4 linked regions of the Saccharomyces cerevisiae S288C genome follow. Changing the gene in region 3 together with the main gene of any one other region gives a genetic interaction. Each region holds a gene or a part of one and is shown on either strand. Other genes may lie near its edges.

Evidence for each region.
Region 1: mutations in DAL81 (region 3) and HXK2 together harm fitness more than expected from each alone (negative genetic interaction), as found in Saccharomyces cerevisiae (2 studies listed by BioGRID).
Region 2: mutations in DAL81 (region 3) and BSD2 together harm fitness more than expected from each alone (negative genetic interaction), as found in Saccharomyces cerevisiae (2 studies listed by BioGRID).
Region 4: mutations in DAL81 (region 3) and ARO7 together harm fitness more than expected from each alone (negative genetic interaction), as found in Saccharomyces cerevisiae (2 studies listed by BioGRID).

The regions. Positions count from the first base shown.
Region 1 is NC_001139.9:21,959-26,011, reverse strand, and holds HXK2 (hexokinase 2), read right to left. Parts: upstream 2,078-4,053; coding exon 617-2,077; downstream 1-616. Other genes in the region: RTG2 (Rtg2p), read left to right, coding at 1-294; FZF1 (Fzf1p), read right to left, coding at 2,809-3,708; high-affinity Zn(2+) transporter ZRT1, read right to left, coding at 3,904-4,053. UniProt on the Saccharomyces cerevisiae protein: Catalyzes the phosphorylation of hexose, such as D-glucose and D-fructose, to hexose 6-phosphate (D-glucose 6-phosphate and D-fructose 6-phosphate, respectively).
Region 2 is NC_001134.8:780,975-784,150, reverse strand, and holds BSD2 (Bsd2p), read right to left. Parts: upstream 1,561-3,176; coding exon 595-1,560; downstream 1-594. Other genes in the region: CTP1 (Ctp1p), read left to right, coding at 1-478; SNF5 (Snf5p), read right to left, coding at 1,767-3,176. UniProt on the Saccharomyces cerevisiae protein: Required for homeostasis of heavy metal ions such as cadmium, cobalt and copper. Controls metal ion transport and prevents metal hyperaccumulation by negatively regulating the SMF1 and SMF2 metal transport systems.
Region 3 is NC_001141.2:397,901-403,221, reverse strand, and holds DAL81 (Dal81p), read right to left. Parts: upstream 3,446-5,321; coding exon 533-3,445; downstream 1-532. Other genes in the region: INA22 (Ina22p), read left to right, coding at 1-381; signal peptidase complex catalytic subunit SEC11, read right to left, coding at 3,986-4,489; YIR021W-A (uncharacterized protein), read right to left, coding at 4,496-4,708; MRS1 (Mrs1p), read right to left, coding at 4,837-5,321. UniProt on the Saccharomyces cerevisiae protein: Positive regulation of genes required for catabolism of GABA (UGA4, UGA1, and UGA2), urea (DUR1 and DUR2), arginine and allantoin.
Region 4 is NC_001148.4:674,245-677,591, reverse strand, and holds ARO7 (chorismate mutase ARO7), read left to right. Parts: upstream 1-1,960; coding exon 1,961-2,731; downstream 2,732-3,347. Other genes in the region: FCY1 (cytosine deaminase), read right to left, coding at 1-427; JID1 (Jid1p), read left to right, coding at 710-1,615; YMC1 (organic acid transporter), read right to left, coding at 2,918-3,347. UniProt on the Saccharomyces cerevisiae protein: Catalyzes the Claisen rearrangement of chorismate to prephenate. Acts at the first branch point in the aromatic amino acid pathway where it steers biosynthesis towards phenylalanine and tyrosine, and away from tryptophan.

The sequences.
Region 1 (4,053 bases), on a different chromosome or scaffold from region 3:
CATCCAGGTGGTAATATCAGAGATAACGTATTTGATTTCCATGTTTCTAAGCGTAGTGAGGTGGAGACCAGTTTAAAAGAATTAATCATTGATGATGCAAACACTACAAAGGTAAAAGAAGAATCCACGCGTAAAAATCGCGGGTATGAAGTGGTTGTGAGAATTAGTAAGGACGATCTTAAAACAAGTGCTTCCGTTCGTTCCAGAATTATCACGCTACAAAAGAAAGTACGCAAGCTATCTAGAGGAAGTGTAGAGAGGGTTAAAATTGGCGTGCAATTTTATGAAGAATAAAGACATCTAGTCTTTAAATACTTGAACAATAAATACGAAATCCTTATATAAGCATCTTTTACTACCAAAAAAATTTAAAATTAAGCAAGAGAAAAAAACGAGCAATTGTTAAAAGAAACTAAAATCATGTAGATTTCATAAATCGTCATATTCTTTGTCTATATAAATATTTATCGTCACGAATAAATCCCGTGAATTTCTAACAAAGTTTATACAATATCACAGTTGTAAAAGTAAGAAAAAAAAAGATCATAGAAAACATGTTCACATAAGTAGAAAAAGGGCACCTTCTTGTTGTTCAAACTTAATTTACAAATTAAGTTTAAGCACCGATGATACCAACGGACTTACCTTCAGCAATTCTTTTTTGGGCCAAAGCAGCAATAACAGCGGCACCAGCACCGGAACCATCTTCAGCAGGAACAATCTTGATTGGGTAGTCGTCTAGTGAGGTTTGAGTCCAGCCGTAAATGTCCTTCAAAGCATTGGCAGCCTTTTCTTTGAAACCTGGGTATCTGTTGTAAACGGAACCGTCTGCAGCGATGTGACCGGTCTTGTAACCTCTCTTTTGACAGATAGCAGCAATACCACAAACGGACAATCTAGCAGCTCTAGCACCAATCAATTCAGATAAACGTCTGATCAATTTACGTTCTTGAACAGTAGTGTTGATACCGAACTCATTTTGGAACAAGTCATCGGTATCTTCTAGGTTCTCGAATGGATCTTCCTCGATTCTGGCTGGGTAAGAAGTGTCCATGACGAAAGGCTTGTCGAACTTAGACAAGTCTTGGTTCTTGAAGATGAAACCTTGTTTGTACATGTCCATCAAGGCCAAACGCAAAATTTCACCTAAGTAGTAACCAGAAGACATTTTTTCAAAGGTTTGTTGGCCTGGTCTTGGAGATTCTTCATCAATGGTGATATCGTATTTAGTTCTTGGCAAAACGACATGTTCATTATCGAAGGAACCGTATTCACAGTTGATGGCCATTGGAGCAGATGGTGGAATGTCATCAGATAGTTTTCCTTGTAGCTTTTCGATATCGGAACAAACATCGTAGTAAGCACCATTGACACCAGTACCGAAGATAACACCCATCTTAGTTTCTGGGTCAGTGTAGTAAGAAGCAACCAAAGTACCGGTAGTGTCGTTTATCAAAGCAACAACTTCAATTGGGATATTCCTCTTAGTGATTTGCTTTTGCAACATTGGAACAACATCGTGGTTTTCAATGTTTGGAATATCAAAACCTTTAGTCCATCTTTGCAAGATACCTTCATTGATTTTGTTTTGAGAAGCTGGGAAAGAAAAGGTGAAACCCAATGGAATTGGCTCAGAGATACCTTGTGGGAATTGCTCATCAATAAAAGCTTTCAAAGAGTCGGCAATAAATTCCCACAATTCGTCTGGATTTTGAGTAGTTCTCATAGCATCTGGTAATCTGTACTTAGATTGAGTGGTGTCAAAGGTACGGTCACCGCCCAACTTGACTAAGACAACTCTCAAGTTGGTACCACCCAAATCAATGGCCAAGAAATCACCGGATTCCTTACCAGTTGGGAAATCCATAACCCAACCTGGAATCATTGGAATGTTACCACCCTTCTTGGACAAACCCTTTTCCAATTCGGAAATGAAGTGCTTGGTAACGGCTTGTAAAGTTTCAGTTGGAACAGTGAAAATTTTTTCAAAATTCTCAATTTGTTGCATCAATTCCTTTGGCACATCGGCCATGGAACCCTTTCTGGCTTGTGGTTTTTTTGGACCTAAATGAACCATTTTATTTAATTAGCGTACTTATTATGTGTGGAGAATTATATTCCTACAACCTTTTCAAAGAAAAAGCGAAAAAATATTAAGAAACTTTGAAGTTAAGTTATAAAAGTTAAGGAATTTTTTTTAGATATGGGGTAGGATTACTCTTTTTTATAGTTTTGTAGATAAGACAGTGGCGAAGGTGCAACAAAGAGACATCACGGAATTGGACACGATATTTGCAAGCTCGCCTCAGCAGGAGGTAATTTCGTGGATCTCGCAATCAAAGGTGTTTCGTGGTCGTCGTCGTCGTCGTGGAAAATTTTTCAGAAAGAAAAGAACGATTACCTAAACTGTCTTTTTCTTTTACAACATGATGTCCCTGAAACAGAGAAAGTACCGTACGAATGTCGATCGACCGGAAAAACTGCCCGCGAGAAAAAGAAATCTCTTTTCTTCGATTTTTTTGTGCCGTCCGGTTTATTGCCCGGTGCCGTCCGGCATGATAGCCATTTCTAGGTACCAATGTGCGAGGAGGTTCAGAAAACTCGTAGTAACATGATGGAAAAGGCATTAGAAAGAGCAGTATACTCTGGGGTCACCAATGTGGAGCTCTGGAGCCCCGCACTTTTTTTCAAGAATAATAGGATGTATACGTAATACGTAATAGGTATCACGCTATTTACTCTTGCCTTTTCTTTGTTTCATAGTTCGAATCACATGAGTAGAGGACGGAAATTGCTCTTCTATGGCGTTCAGTATTCGAATAAATCCCAGACGCTAGGCTTATATAAATGAATGTAGCTGTACTTTACCAGCGTCTCAGGAATGAAGGCGTGCGTGTGGTCATAGTGGTCAATGAGATCAAATACAGATGCGAATGGACTAAGCTCTTGACAATCACTATGTTTGCACCGGTTATCCGACCAGTAACTCTCTGGATCAGTTGGGGTTTGTGCCGTAGTGCTATCAACGCTTTCACTACTGCTTGTCCCAGTAGTGCTAAATGAAAGTTGTGGAATGGATGTAGTGTCGGTGCTGCTGGATTTCTCAGAGGTTGGAAGCGATTCCTTCAGAGATGGATCTCCAGATGGTACAACAAGCTTACTTGCTATATGATGTTGCAACATATGATTTATTAGATCGTCATTGAAGCTGGTAACTTTTTGACATGATTTGTATGGGCATTGTAGCACTTGCATGTCATCATATCCAGGCAAATGACCTTGCGAGAATTCTTCACCACACATTGGAGAGCCGGAAGGTAATTTTGGGTCAAAACCTCCCTCCTTGCCATTGAGTTCTGCTTTCACATTCGCATTCACTCCTTCGTGTTTACGGTCAATTCTTGATGCAAGCTTGCTTTTTCTTTCATGACTATTTAAATGCCTTCTTAATTGCTGATTTGTGACAAATCTTTTTTGACATAATGTGCACGCTTTGGGCTTGATTTGTGAATGAGTCCATTTGTGAACTCGTAGATGGCACGGTCTTATAAATTTTTTGCCACATCCCGGCTCATCACAATGATACGGCTTTTGATTGGTATGCGAATTTTGGTGTTGCTGAAGCAAACTAGGTCTGTTGTAGACTTTCTCACAACCGTCAAAAGAACATTTGTAATTTCTAGACTTGGTTCTCCCTATATCCGTCATTGTTTTGGTGGCCACGTATTCTGGTACCACTTGTGCACACCAGCGTAAAAGTTGTCATTTTCATCTTCTTTAGCGTATTTATTGTCCGAGACTGTTAAAGAAAAATTATTACTGTTTTTTTGCTATTACTAAAGAATAAATAACTATAAAATATGAAATAGAATCTATATGGAACATGCAGAATTTCGCTTTGGTTTAAGCCCACTTACCGATCAAAGCCATGATACCAGCACCGAAAAGAGTGCATATAACGTTGAAGGACAATTCTCTTAGATCCTTTGTTCTTTGAGGATTGAATATAAAGTCTCTTGCTAGTAGTTCAACCAAACCAGTGTACAATAAGAT
Region 2 (3,176 bases), on a different chromosome or scaffold from region 3:
ACAATCTGCTACACCAAAATACCATAATAATGGGCGCGGTGTAGTACGAAACTATTCATCATTAGTCCGTGATAAAGGATTTTCTGGTCTTTATCGTGGTGTTTTGCCAGTTTCCATGAGACAGGCCGCAAACCAAGCCGTTAGATTGGGTTGTTACAATAAGATTAAGACCTTGATCCAAGATTATACGGATTCGCCAAAAGACAAACCTTTATCATCCGGGTTAACCTTCTTAGTGGGTGCATTTAGTGGTATTGTGACGGTCTATTCCACCATGCCCCTTGATACTGTGAAAACAAGAATGCAAAGTTTGGATTCCACCAAATACTCCTCTACAATGAATTGTTTTGCAACCATTTTCAAAGAAGAAGGGTTAAAGACGTTTTGGAAAGGTGCTACGCCTAGACTTGGGAGATTGGTCTTGAGTGGTGGTATTGTTTTCACTATCTATGAAAAGGTCTTAGTTATGCTAGCCTGAAATGTATTATTGTGTACAATATATCATCTAATGTTTTCTACTCGTTATAAGTCTATTTACCAGCCGATCACTTAAAAAAGTTATATATCTCTTTTTATCATAATGAAGAAGATGGCTTATGCTTGATTTTGACTTTGGTTGAGGTATTTCTTTTCCAATTTTTTGACTTGAATGTAGTCGTATATACTCTTCAGGGTGATAAATAGCCCAAGAAATGCCACAAAAACAGCCAACCATGGTATGTTTTGTTTTTCTTCATCCAGACCGTGATTCAAATGTGATTCAAATTTATCTTGTGTCGTTGATTGTGAATTTAGACGAACATCATCGAATTCATTTGGATCCTCTAATTCCATTCTATTTAAGCTTTTATTTTTGCCGACTTTTGAAGTAACATCATTGGGAATCATTGAATAACCATATCCAATGAACGTTAACCCTAATCCAAACCTTGAACCTTGCTTTGCTGCGTGAGATGTGTGTAAAATGTAGGTTATTAAAAATCCAATGAACTGAAAACTCGTGCTTACGATGATATTCCATAATAAATTTGCTATATTTCCTACAGGAAGCCCCTCAATGCATATTTCGTCGTAGTAGATATCTGAATTGTTCAAATCCATTCCATAATACGAGGGGGCCATATCAGCAGCAGCTTCGTCGTATGTAGGTGGTATGTCTTGTTCGTTATTACCTTCAGTCTCTGTGGTATCTGGTTTTGCGCTTAAATTGCTAAAGACACCATCAAACATGGCACCTTGTTGTATATCCGAAGACTGTTGTGTACGTTTCTTAAAAAGTCTATCAAGAATATTAAAATGTCTTCCTATTTTTCCTATATGTCTGGCTGCTTGTTCCCTCAGCTGGTGTGGTACTAGTCTTTCTGTCGTACTATTTCCTCCACTGCTGCTTCCCTCGTCCTCTATGCTATCTTCCTCGTCAGACCCTATTTCCGTTTCCCCTTCTACGCCAGTTTGTGTGTCTCTAGTTCGTCCTGCGTTTCCGACATTTATGCCATCAGTAGATGAACCTGCATGAAGTGTATTCATTTCTTGCCCTATAAGTAGTTCTTGCTCTGGCATAGCGCTTAGTTTCCTAGACTACGTGTTCTTGTTATTCTCATGCTCTTTTTATGTATCTAAATTGGAAGATTTTTATAAAGGTTATGTACTATTCTTCTAAAAAAAGTAGGCGCAAAGGGACTCCGCATCGTATAACACGATGATAATACAAATTCTTCCACGGTTATTTACATCTCCGGTATATTTTATATATGTGTATATATTTTCTATGTATTCTGTGTGTTATTGTTACTGCTACCATTATTGCTATTAGTCAACAATGTCGCTTCGCTATCATGTGGTGCTACTGGAGGTGCTATAGGAAGACTAGGTGTAGGTACCGATTTACTAGCTGCCCCACCTGGGATTACTGGCTGCAGTGTGGGATTGGGTGAATTAGTAACAGTGTGATTGGCAATCGGGTTTGGGATTGAAGGTATCGTCACACCAGCGCGAATGTTACTATTCAGCTTAGTTTTCAGCGATTCTGGACTCGGAAGCATTGCATTGGTGCCACTACTTGTGTCATTGGGCGCTGCTGCGAACTCTTCTTTTGTATTAACTTTCCCAGGCAGTTTAATAGAAAGTAGTAGCGAATGACCCGGAATATGGTCAATAATATAACAAGGAGGTGAAACTGGCTTAGGTCTATCTGGCCTGCTTTTATAAGTGGTTGTGTTTCTCAATTCGTACGATTCCACAGAAGGGCCTACGTCAACACCACCAGGCATTAAAGTGCTAGGTACTGGAGTCCTGAAAGTTCTTGGAATATCTGCAATATCTGGCAGTAAAATCTCTCCTGGTGGCAACGATGAAGCATTTCCTGCTGCTACTGTGTTGTGAACGCCGTTCATAGATGTATTACTTGCAGATGTGCCGGACAATGCGAGCATACCACGTCTATTAGATCTACCTTGTCTTCTTTTCCTTCTTGTGTCTCTGTCCTTATCTTTATCCAATCTCTCTAACTCTGCAGCTGAAATCTGTAATAGGTTTGGAGTAAAAATTTTGCTTTCCGCTGCAGGCCTATAAACATCATCAAGAGTAATCGTTGGGAGCATTCTGCTTCTAATGTCATCATCTTCTATCGCTGATCCATCAAAATTGTAACCTAACAGTGCCAGTGATTTATGATACATATGAACTTGCTCTCTTATGGAGTGAGCAATGGCAGTCACAAACTCACCTGGTAGTTCTAATTCTTGACACATGGACTCTGCAAACTCTTCTGGACAGTTATCACTATTAGAGATGTCCCACTCAAATTGATCGATTAACTGGTTTTGTCCCACGACAATATCCAGCTTGATTCTAATTCTCAAGTCATCACCGCCTAGACGGTCCTGATTCAACTCTATATATGGATTTCCTTGAAACTCCTGAATCTGCTCTTGTATAGATTGACAAATAGTATCAATGTGTTGCTCTCTCGTAGCGTCCTCAAATCGGTAATCTCGCAACATGTCGTCCACAAAGTCTTCAATTTTAATAAGCTTGTCATTTTTGTTCCATAACAAAGTGTCCCTGAGGAAGAATCTGTCACGATCTTGATCGAACTCCAATCTTATGGGAACTAACTGTTCCGATGTCTCATTCATGGCCTGTTTATAGACTTTTAATTTATCCTCTAGGTAATG
Region 3 (5,321 bases):
GATAATAATGGAAAGGTAGACTTCGACGCAGATGATGAATTGAAACTTGTGAATTTGCGTTTAGGAATCGTCGGCAAGAACGCAACTGGGATGAAGGAAGATGAGACTGATATTGTGGTTCCTAAGGAAGAGTCATTGGAAGAGATCTGGCAAAGTATAATAGACGAGGCAAAAAAAGAAGTAATCGAAAAAACTCCAGATGCTGGCGTTAAGAACAAAGAAGGGATTGTCACTGATTTGAATGTTCTAAAAGATTTAGAAAAGTCGAAAAAAGAAGATGAAAAGGTTTACCTAAGTGGTGATGTCCATATGATGATGAACCAACCAGGTGATTTGAATGAAATCGCCAAAGAACATGATAAAATCCCAAAATTTCTATAGTAGGCTCTATGCATCCGGATATACCACATGTAAATATAACGCAAGCGAATAAATAATTTTACATTCACCACTCAGTAACCTTGGTCCTGCAGAAGATATTTCTATATAGTTATTACCGTATTCCATTTTTACTTATGTGCTATTATTTATATTACAGAGGGGTTTCCCTTGTGTTAATTGTTACATTTTTATCATCATTCATTTTTATAGTTTGGTTACCAGTTGCGCTTGTTTCCTGGTTCGAGTTTGGATTATCGTCCTTGAGTTCCGTTGATGATTCCTCGTTGGCGGTTCTTTCTCTTCCTGCTGTTTTTTCATCTGCAGCGTCACCTGACTCTTGTCTGGTTTCGTTAATTGAGGTCAAGGGAGAAGCATTCATTTGTGTATTAGAGTTGACATTTGTGCTGGAATTGACTCTTGGTGAAGATGTATTAGAGGGGGGGTGTCTGCTCATATGAGAGGGCGTAACATTTGGTGAAGATTGTGAAGTTTTTTTAGAAGACTTATTTGGCGCAAATGGTAAAGGCGTGTTGTTGCTATTATTATTAGCACTATTTATGGCTGGACTTCCCTGCGATTCTAGTTGTGTTTGTCTGGAAGTGGGGTTTACTGGCGTTGTTGTACTGGTCGTACCGTTGGGAAAGGAGTTTAGTTGTTGCAAGATTTCCTGGGGCAAATTCTTCCACTGGTTTAAAGGAGATCCTTGCTCGGTCATGGCAGGTGATCCCACGTTAAATTGTATTGGGATTTGCGATTGTACACCTGACCTTTGTGGGTTAACGGAATTGATGTTAGAGTTAGGGCTCACGACCACCGGTTCATCGGTCAGAAGACCAGGAATTTGTGCAAATAGTAAATGCATATTATTCAAAGCATTCGATAGTTTATCAAAGTATTTGGAACCTATCTTCAATACCCAGGTATAATTTCTAACATAATCTCTGAAAATCATAGCCTCTTCCTTCGTAGCTGAAGTCACATACAGCAGGGCAGCAAATGTTCCAATTAGCATCAGATTTCCAGTTGAGCAGTTATACCAAAAAGCATTAATATGTTCGTTTTTTAGATCTCTTATAAATTCAATTGCTGCTACAAGCCTGGTTCTTGCAGCAGTCCTGCATACTTGAACCAGTTCCTTTGGAGTTTGAGGATTCAAGGCACAGATAATTTTCCTATGTAACGTAATTTCCGTGGCAAAATAAGCTAGAGTTAAAGTTGAATTTGAGTTCAATTTTTGTGGCGTGGCATAACTCATTGACAAATTCTTGGGTAGGGAATGGTACCATTCTCTTAATTTCAGTTGCAACGGCTTTGCCAGTTTCAATACCTGTTCAATGCTTTTGTTTATTGTCATGGATCCCTGAGTGTAAAATGTGTCCATGATTTCCCCAAGAATTATACTCAAGGAAACCATTTGTTGAAACATAAGCGTTCCATTCTTGAAATCTTCTAAAGTGGGGTTTATGTTAAATATGGGCAAGTTACCAAATGCTATCTGATGGTTTTTCACATCATTTGATGACGAGGGTGAAGACCCCGACTGGTCATTTTGCAAGGAATTTAAAATAGTGGGCGAATTCAGAGGAAAATCATCAAAGTTTAATAGCTTGATCATCCAGTTCCTACCTAAAATTAAATGGGATTGTCTACCTTCGTTTAATGCACACCATTTATCCATCAACCAAACTGCCCACGCTAATCTCTTTCTCAAATCTTTTTCCCATTTGGGAAGTTTCCAATCATTACATTCAACCCCGAGCCCCAATTCCTCTGCAAGGGCCACTACGCTGGAGCAGAGGACCCAGTTGTTATGACATTCACTACGGCATTGCAAAATCAAAAGGCCTGTTTGTATAATGCTCAATTTTGGCCTTCCAACTCGAGCATAAAATGTTTCCAATGCGATATTGTTTAGTTGAGCAGTTACATCGGGTTTAGGGAACCCCAAAAGTGCAGGATGAAAATCCCAATATTGTAATGCCAGTGAGTAAATGGATGCCAGTAAAGGCGCAGTGAGTTCTCTATAAGATCTAGAATACTTTTCCAAAAATACACGTTCGTGTAAAATTGGAAGAAAAGGATGAATCAATTTGAAGAAAATCTCTACTAAAAGGTGACCGTGCGGATGTACCAGATTTTCGACCAAATCAACTTCGTATTCTTGCTTACTATGAAGGGTCGTGTCAAAATCGTCCTGAAGAATAAACTGTGCGGTAGGAGACACCTTTCTTAATGATAAAGTTTTTGATAGCTGTATTTGGTCAACATTATCTAGTCTTACATGCTTGGTCAAGTTCAAATCGAAAACTGAGGCCGGACCGACGAAAAAAGAGGATCTGGGGTATTGTATACGCTGTTGCTGCTGTTGCTGTTGCTGCTGCTGTTGATGTCTATAGAGCATGCTACTGGGTAAGCGATTCGAATAGTCTTCAAAATTTTTCATTCGTTTGGAGTTTGAAGAGGTTGGCATGTTATTGTTTGCCCCAGAGGACGTTCTTTTCAAATAATTTGGAGCAATACTGAAGGTGCATTTAGTTCTTGACGTTTCACATTCGAGACAGTTGCCTAGGTCGGGAAAATAGTTGCACTTTGTTTTCTTTAATCTACATTGATTGCAAGATCCCATCAGATTACCGGGACTAGATATGTCATTATTGTTGTTATTATTGTTGCTATTACTGCCATTATGATCTGCGCTGTTACTAACATTGTCATCAAAGGCTATTGCATTATCACTCTTGGAGAGTAAACTTTGATAATGGTGCAAAAGGGTATCCAGGCTCTGTTGTTGCTGCTGTTGTTGCTGCTGTTGTTGCTGTTGTTGCTGCTGCTGATGCTGTTGTTGTTGTGATCCTCCTTTCTCCCTCAGTATATTAGGATGGTCGTTTGCCAAATGTTGCAGAATGGTAGTATAGTTATCATTAAAATTCAGTATATCATGGTTACTGTTATTATTGCTGTTGTTGCTATTGACATTATTATTCGTGGACGAATTTTTAGTGGTTGCCTTCACGCTCTTCGTAGGCGATGCGGCATTATCAGCTGGTGATTGGTGAGGGTCCATTTGATAGTATGGCTGCCTGTCGTTCTGCCGCTCGTCTAAACAGGCCAAGAGTTTTTAAGATCTACACTATTATTTGAAAATGATTCTTATCATCTATTATTTTCAATCACCATGTACGATTGTTATGTTTCATATAATACCCATCGCGATGGATATTATATGAGTATTATTAGCTCGAATCTTGGACTGCTTCTGCTCTACCTATACACTGATTGTACAATTCTATATGCTTATGCAGCTTAGACCATTTTTTATTCGAGAAGTTAAACCTAGCGGTCTCAATTACCGACACATATGCCTTTTCAAGATATCGAGTTAATGAGCGACGGTATCACCTTATAAAAAATGACACAAATCATCTCTGTTGAATTGCCTACATCACTGTGGGAGCTCCTTTTTCAATAATTCTCAAAGCGTGTCCTAAGACAATATTTTGTTTTCAGCGTGGACCGAATGGTTATGGTTATATAATTAAACAAGTTAAAGACCATAAGCACAAATACAAAGTACGTAAACATCGTTCCAAAAAAACTTGGCGAACTACTCGCCCCCCAGCAGAGCACTCAACCCCAACATACCTAACAATGCAAACTTGGCATATTTGTTCTCGCTAATCCAAATCGTAATGTACCCTAGTTGTGGAAAGTAGCCCTTGACGGTCCCTACAATCTCCTTTGACTTGTTCAAGTAAATTTTCTTATTAGCATATAGTGAGATATCATTGCCGGCGTTATTGTCACCTTTGGTCAGGAGGAATTGCTTGTCCGCGTGATTGTTATGTTGCCTCAAAACTCTATGCACAATGGGGATTTGTTTCCCTTCGACCTCATACACCACGACATCACCTACTTGGTTGAAAGTATTTCTATTCCATAGGAAAAGGATATCACCCCTTTGGAAAGCTGGTTCCATGGAGCCTGAAAGCACCACCACGATCGGAGAAGCGCTATTAGTAGCAATGGCTAAGCCTTGCCAGAACATGTAAGCAGATGCAAACAAAAAGCAAACGTTCAATAGTTTCTGCAATTCAAATCTTAGATTCATCTTGTGCTAACTCCCTTGGGGTTTACTTTCCGGTATATTTCTGTAGTATATTGTTTCTGCACCATTTATTTCCTTGGAGATTATTTTTTTGAAATCGCTTTTGCCAATGGAAAAAAGTATACGTATGGTAATAATAATAAGAGCAACAGCGCTCTCTGAAATAGAAGATACCAGCAGCTTCGTGGTCTTGGGAGTCTTGCAGCTGACAGAGAATGACATTGTTGTGCAGGTGTGTCACATAAGATCTGGAAAAAACCAACAGCTACAGAAAGAACCGCCCTCACGGAGAATAAAGTCAATAGTAGCTTTTTTTTACGTACTTTCTATTTACATGCTATATAAGAGGATTATATCTTTGCGCCTTTGAGAAACTTTGAGGAACCGGCCTGAAAATGTTGTAGATTGAGCTTTTCTTGCTTAACGTAGTCGTTGAATTGCTTTAGGACGCCTGAGTCCAACCTACCATTGTCCTTCATCACAATGTCAACGAGGTTGCTATACGTACGAAGAACTTTACTCGACTCCATAGTAGCGAGAAACACCTCTGTCATATCAGATGCATCTTTTCCTGTGTCCAGGGAAAGACAATCCTTCAGGGAGAAGTTTAGGCCCGTTGTCGAGGATAGTATGGGGAATTTAAGTTTCCAGCCTTTATCCAAATGAAGACACATTAGCGGGTCGATGTCATTATCGAAGGCGGATCGCAGTAATCGCTTGGTGACAACCTCCTTTATAGTGGCACGTACCACCGGATCGTACATCTGATATTCTCGAGGTACAGAAATGGAAGGGTTTTCCTTTAATGAGACTCTTATGGGAGTCAATTCGCACC
Region 4 (3,347 bases), on a different chromosome or scaffold from region 3:
GTTTCATGATCTTTTTACACCTCTCATCGTCAACAACAACAACCTCGTGACCTCTAGTTTGTAAATATTTCTCGCCCTTACTTTTGAAATTAACGTTCTCACCGACAACACAGCGTGGAATACCATACATGATGATGGCACCTGTACACATGTCGCATGGAGACAGCGTCGTATACAAAGTGGTATCTTTGTACACTTTGCCCTCTAATCTCCCACAGTTTTCCAAAGTGGAGATCTCACCATGTAGTGTGGCGGATCCCTTTTGAAATCTCATGTTGTGACCACGACCGAGAACACTTCCGTCTTTGTTATTGATAAGACATCCGCCAATAGGAACACCACCCTCTTTGTAACCTAAGGCCGCCTCCTCATAGGCAATGTCCATACCCTTCTGATCCCACTTGCTTGCCATTCCCCCTGTCACCATTAGCTATGAAATTTTTAACTCTTTAAGCTGGCTCTCATCAACATAAAACAATGGCTTGTAGATCTCATTGTCGAATTGAAAATGAACTTTTTAATTTCGCAAAAAAAAAAAGAAAAGTTCAGGGTCTCCGGGTACTACCGCCCCTGCAAGGAATGACCGGTGATAATGGAAGAGAAGATATTACAGCGACAGTATAATTAACAAACACGTTGTGTCTTTAGGCTCGTAACTAACTGTACGTATATCTACACACCATAGGTCACTACTTGCAATATATTTGTTATGCTACACCATAAGTTCGTATACCCATTTTTATTCAAGTGGCACTTATCATGTGTAGAAAAGTGTCCCCCACAAATCACTTTTATAGCTAAGTATGCTACAGCGAACGATAAAAATGGCAATAGAAAACTTACGATAAGGGATGAACAATGGCCTGAGTTGGCAGATCCAACTCCCTATGATATTTTTGGCATTCCAAAGGCCGGATCTGGAAATCCTAAACTGGACAAGAAGTCGTTAAAAAAAAAATATCATCGTTATGTAAAATTGTACCACCCTGACCATTCCGATAACATTCAAATATTTAGCTCAGAAAAGGTTACCAACAGTGATAGTAAATCACCGCTGCTGCTAACATCAAGCGAAAAACTACATAGATTTAAAGTCATCTCTCAAGCATATGATATTCTTTGTGACCCAAAGAAAAAGATCGTATATGACACAACGAGGCAAGGCTGGACCACATCGTATTCACCACGTTCTAACGTTAATACTGAAAATTACCAATATGCCGGCTCTTATGGCTACCACTCTAACGCGCAGTATGAATACTGGAACGCTGGGACTTGGGAAGACGCAAATAGCATGAAAAACGAAAGAATTCAAGAAAACATCAACCCATGGACCGTTATTGGCATAATTTGTGGCCTAGCTATATGCATCGAAGGGACTGCGTTGTTAGCCAAAATCCAGGAGTCTCTGAGCAAGGCCGAATTTACTCATGACGAAAGTGGATTACATTTGATTCAGTCATACACGAATTATGGTCTTGATACTGACAAATTTTCCAGATTGAGGCGGTTCTTATGGTTTAGAACTTGGGGACTTTACAAGTCGAAAGAGGATTTAGATAGAGAAGCCAAGATCAATGAAGAAATGATACGCAAACTGAAAGCAGCTAAATGAAATCACCTATTGCGCCGCTCGCGGAATACAATTACTAAATTTTATATATATTCTTTAAAAATGCATCTATACATTCGTTTTTCCACGTATACCAAATTCGAAAAAAGTTGTTAAACCATCGTTTTCACGTTTTTTAATTTTTTTTTGGTTCTCTTTTTTTTTTTTTTTCAATATCAACTTTTTTTCAAACTTCGTGTTGCATTTCCTTTATCGTAAATTTTCAATGGATCTCTATAATCTTCGAAGTTCGAAGAAAAGAAGAAAAAAAGTATTGAAAAGTTGAAACATCGATTCCGTTTTGCTAACAAATAGCACTCAGCATCCTGCATAAAATTGGTATAAGATATGGATTTCACAAAACCAGAAACTGTTTTAAATCTACAAAATATTAGAGATGAATTAGTTAGAATGGAGGATTCGATCATCTTCAAATTTATTGAGAGGTCGCATTTCGCCACATGTCCTTCAGTTTATGAGGCAAACCATCCAGGTTTAGAAATTCCGAATTTTAAAGGATCTTTCTTGGATTGGGCTCTTTCAAATCTTGAAATTGCGCATTCTCGCATCAGAAGATTCGAATCACCTGATGAAACTCCCTTCTTTCCTGACAAGATTCAGAAATCATTCTTACCGAGCATTAACTACCCACAAATTTTGGCGCCTTATGCCCCAGAAGTTAATTACAATGATAAAATAAAAAAAGTTTATATTGAAAAGATTATACCATTAATTTCGAAAAGAGATGGTGATGATAAGAATAACTTCGGTTCTGTTGCCACTAGAGATATAGAATGTTTGCAAAGCTTGAGTAGGAGAATCCACTTTGGCAAGTTTGTTGCTGAAGCCAAGTTCCAATCGGATATCCCGCTATACACAAAGCTGATCAAAAGTAAAGATGTCGAGGGGATAATGAAGAATATCACCAATTCTGCCGTTGAAGAAAAGATTCTAGAAAGATTAACTAAGAAGGCTGAAGTCTATGGTGTGGACCCTACCAACGAGTCAGGTGAAAGAAGGATTACTCCAGAATATTTGGTAAAAATTTATAAGGAAATTGTTATACCTATCACTAAGGAAGTTGAGGTGGAATACTTGCTAAGAAGGTTGGAAGAGTAAGCATGAAGGCTATCACGGTAACAATTCCACATTGCCGAGTGATTACTACGCATATATAAACACACACACTCACCATATATATGTACGCATAGTAGCATCTATTGAATATAAGAAGATAGAGTTTCAAGTTATACATTATATTGTACTATTTTCTTAAACGATGGCTCATAAATTCTATAGGAATTATCAACCCAATAACCTCATCGCTAATTCAAAAGTAGCAAAAGTGGCACCATTGGCGGGAGCAGCTCTTAGCATGGTAGGACCAAACCCTTTGAAAAAAGCGCCTATCCCTCCATTGGCATATAAAGTCTTGGCTACACTGGAAATAGAATTACCAAATTTAGGCTTTTGTAAATTATCCGTTTGCATGACAGACTTGATGACATCTAATGGATATACCATCAACCATAAGGCAGTGCCAGACAATGCTCCAAAAATACAAAGTTTCCATGCAGGAATGTCCTTTCTCTCTAGTCCACGTCTTTTGTTCATTTGGTTAGCAATCAACGCTTCATACACTAAGAAATATGTGCCACATCCATGACCTTCTCTCAATATTGTAGGTGTTAAACCACGTAGCAAGGCCTTGTTATGTCTTAATTTTTTGATGCAT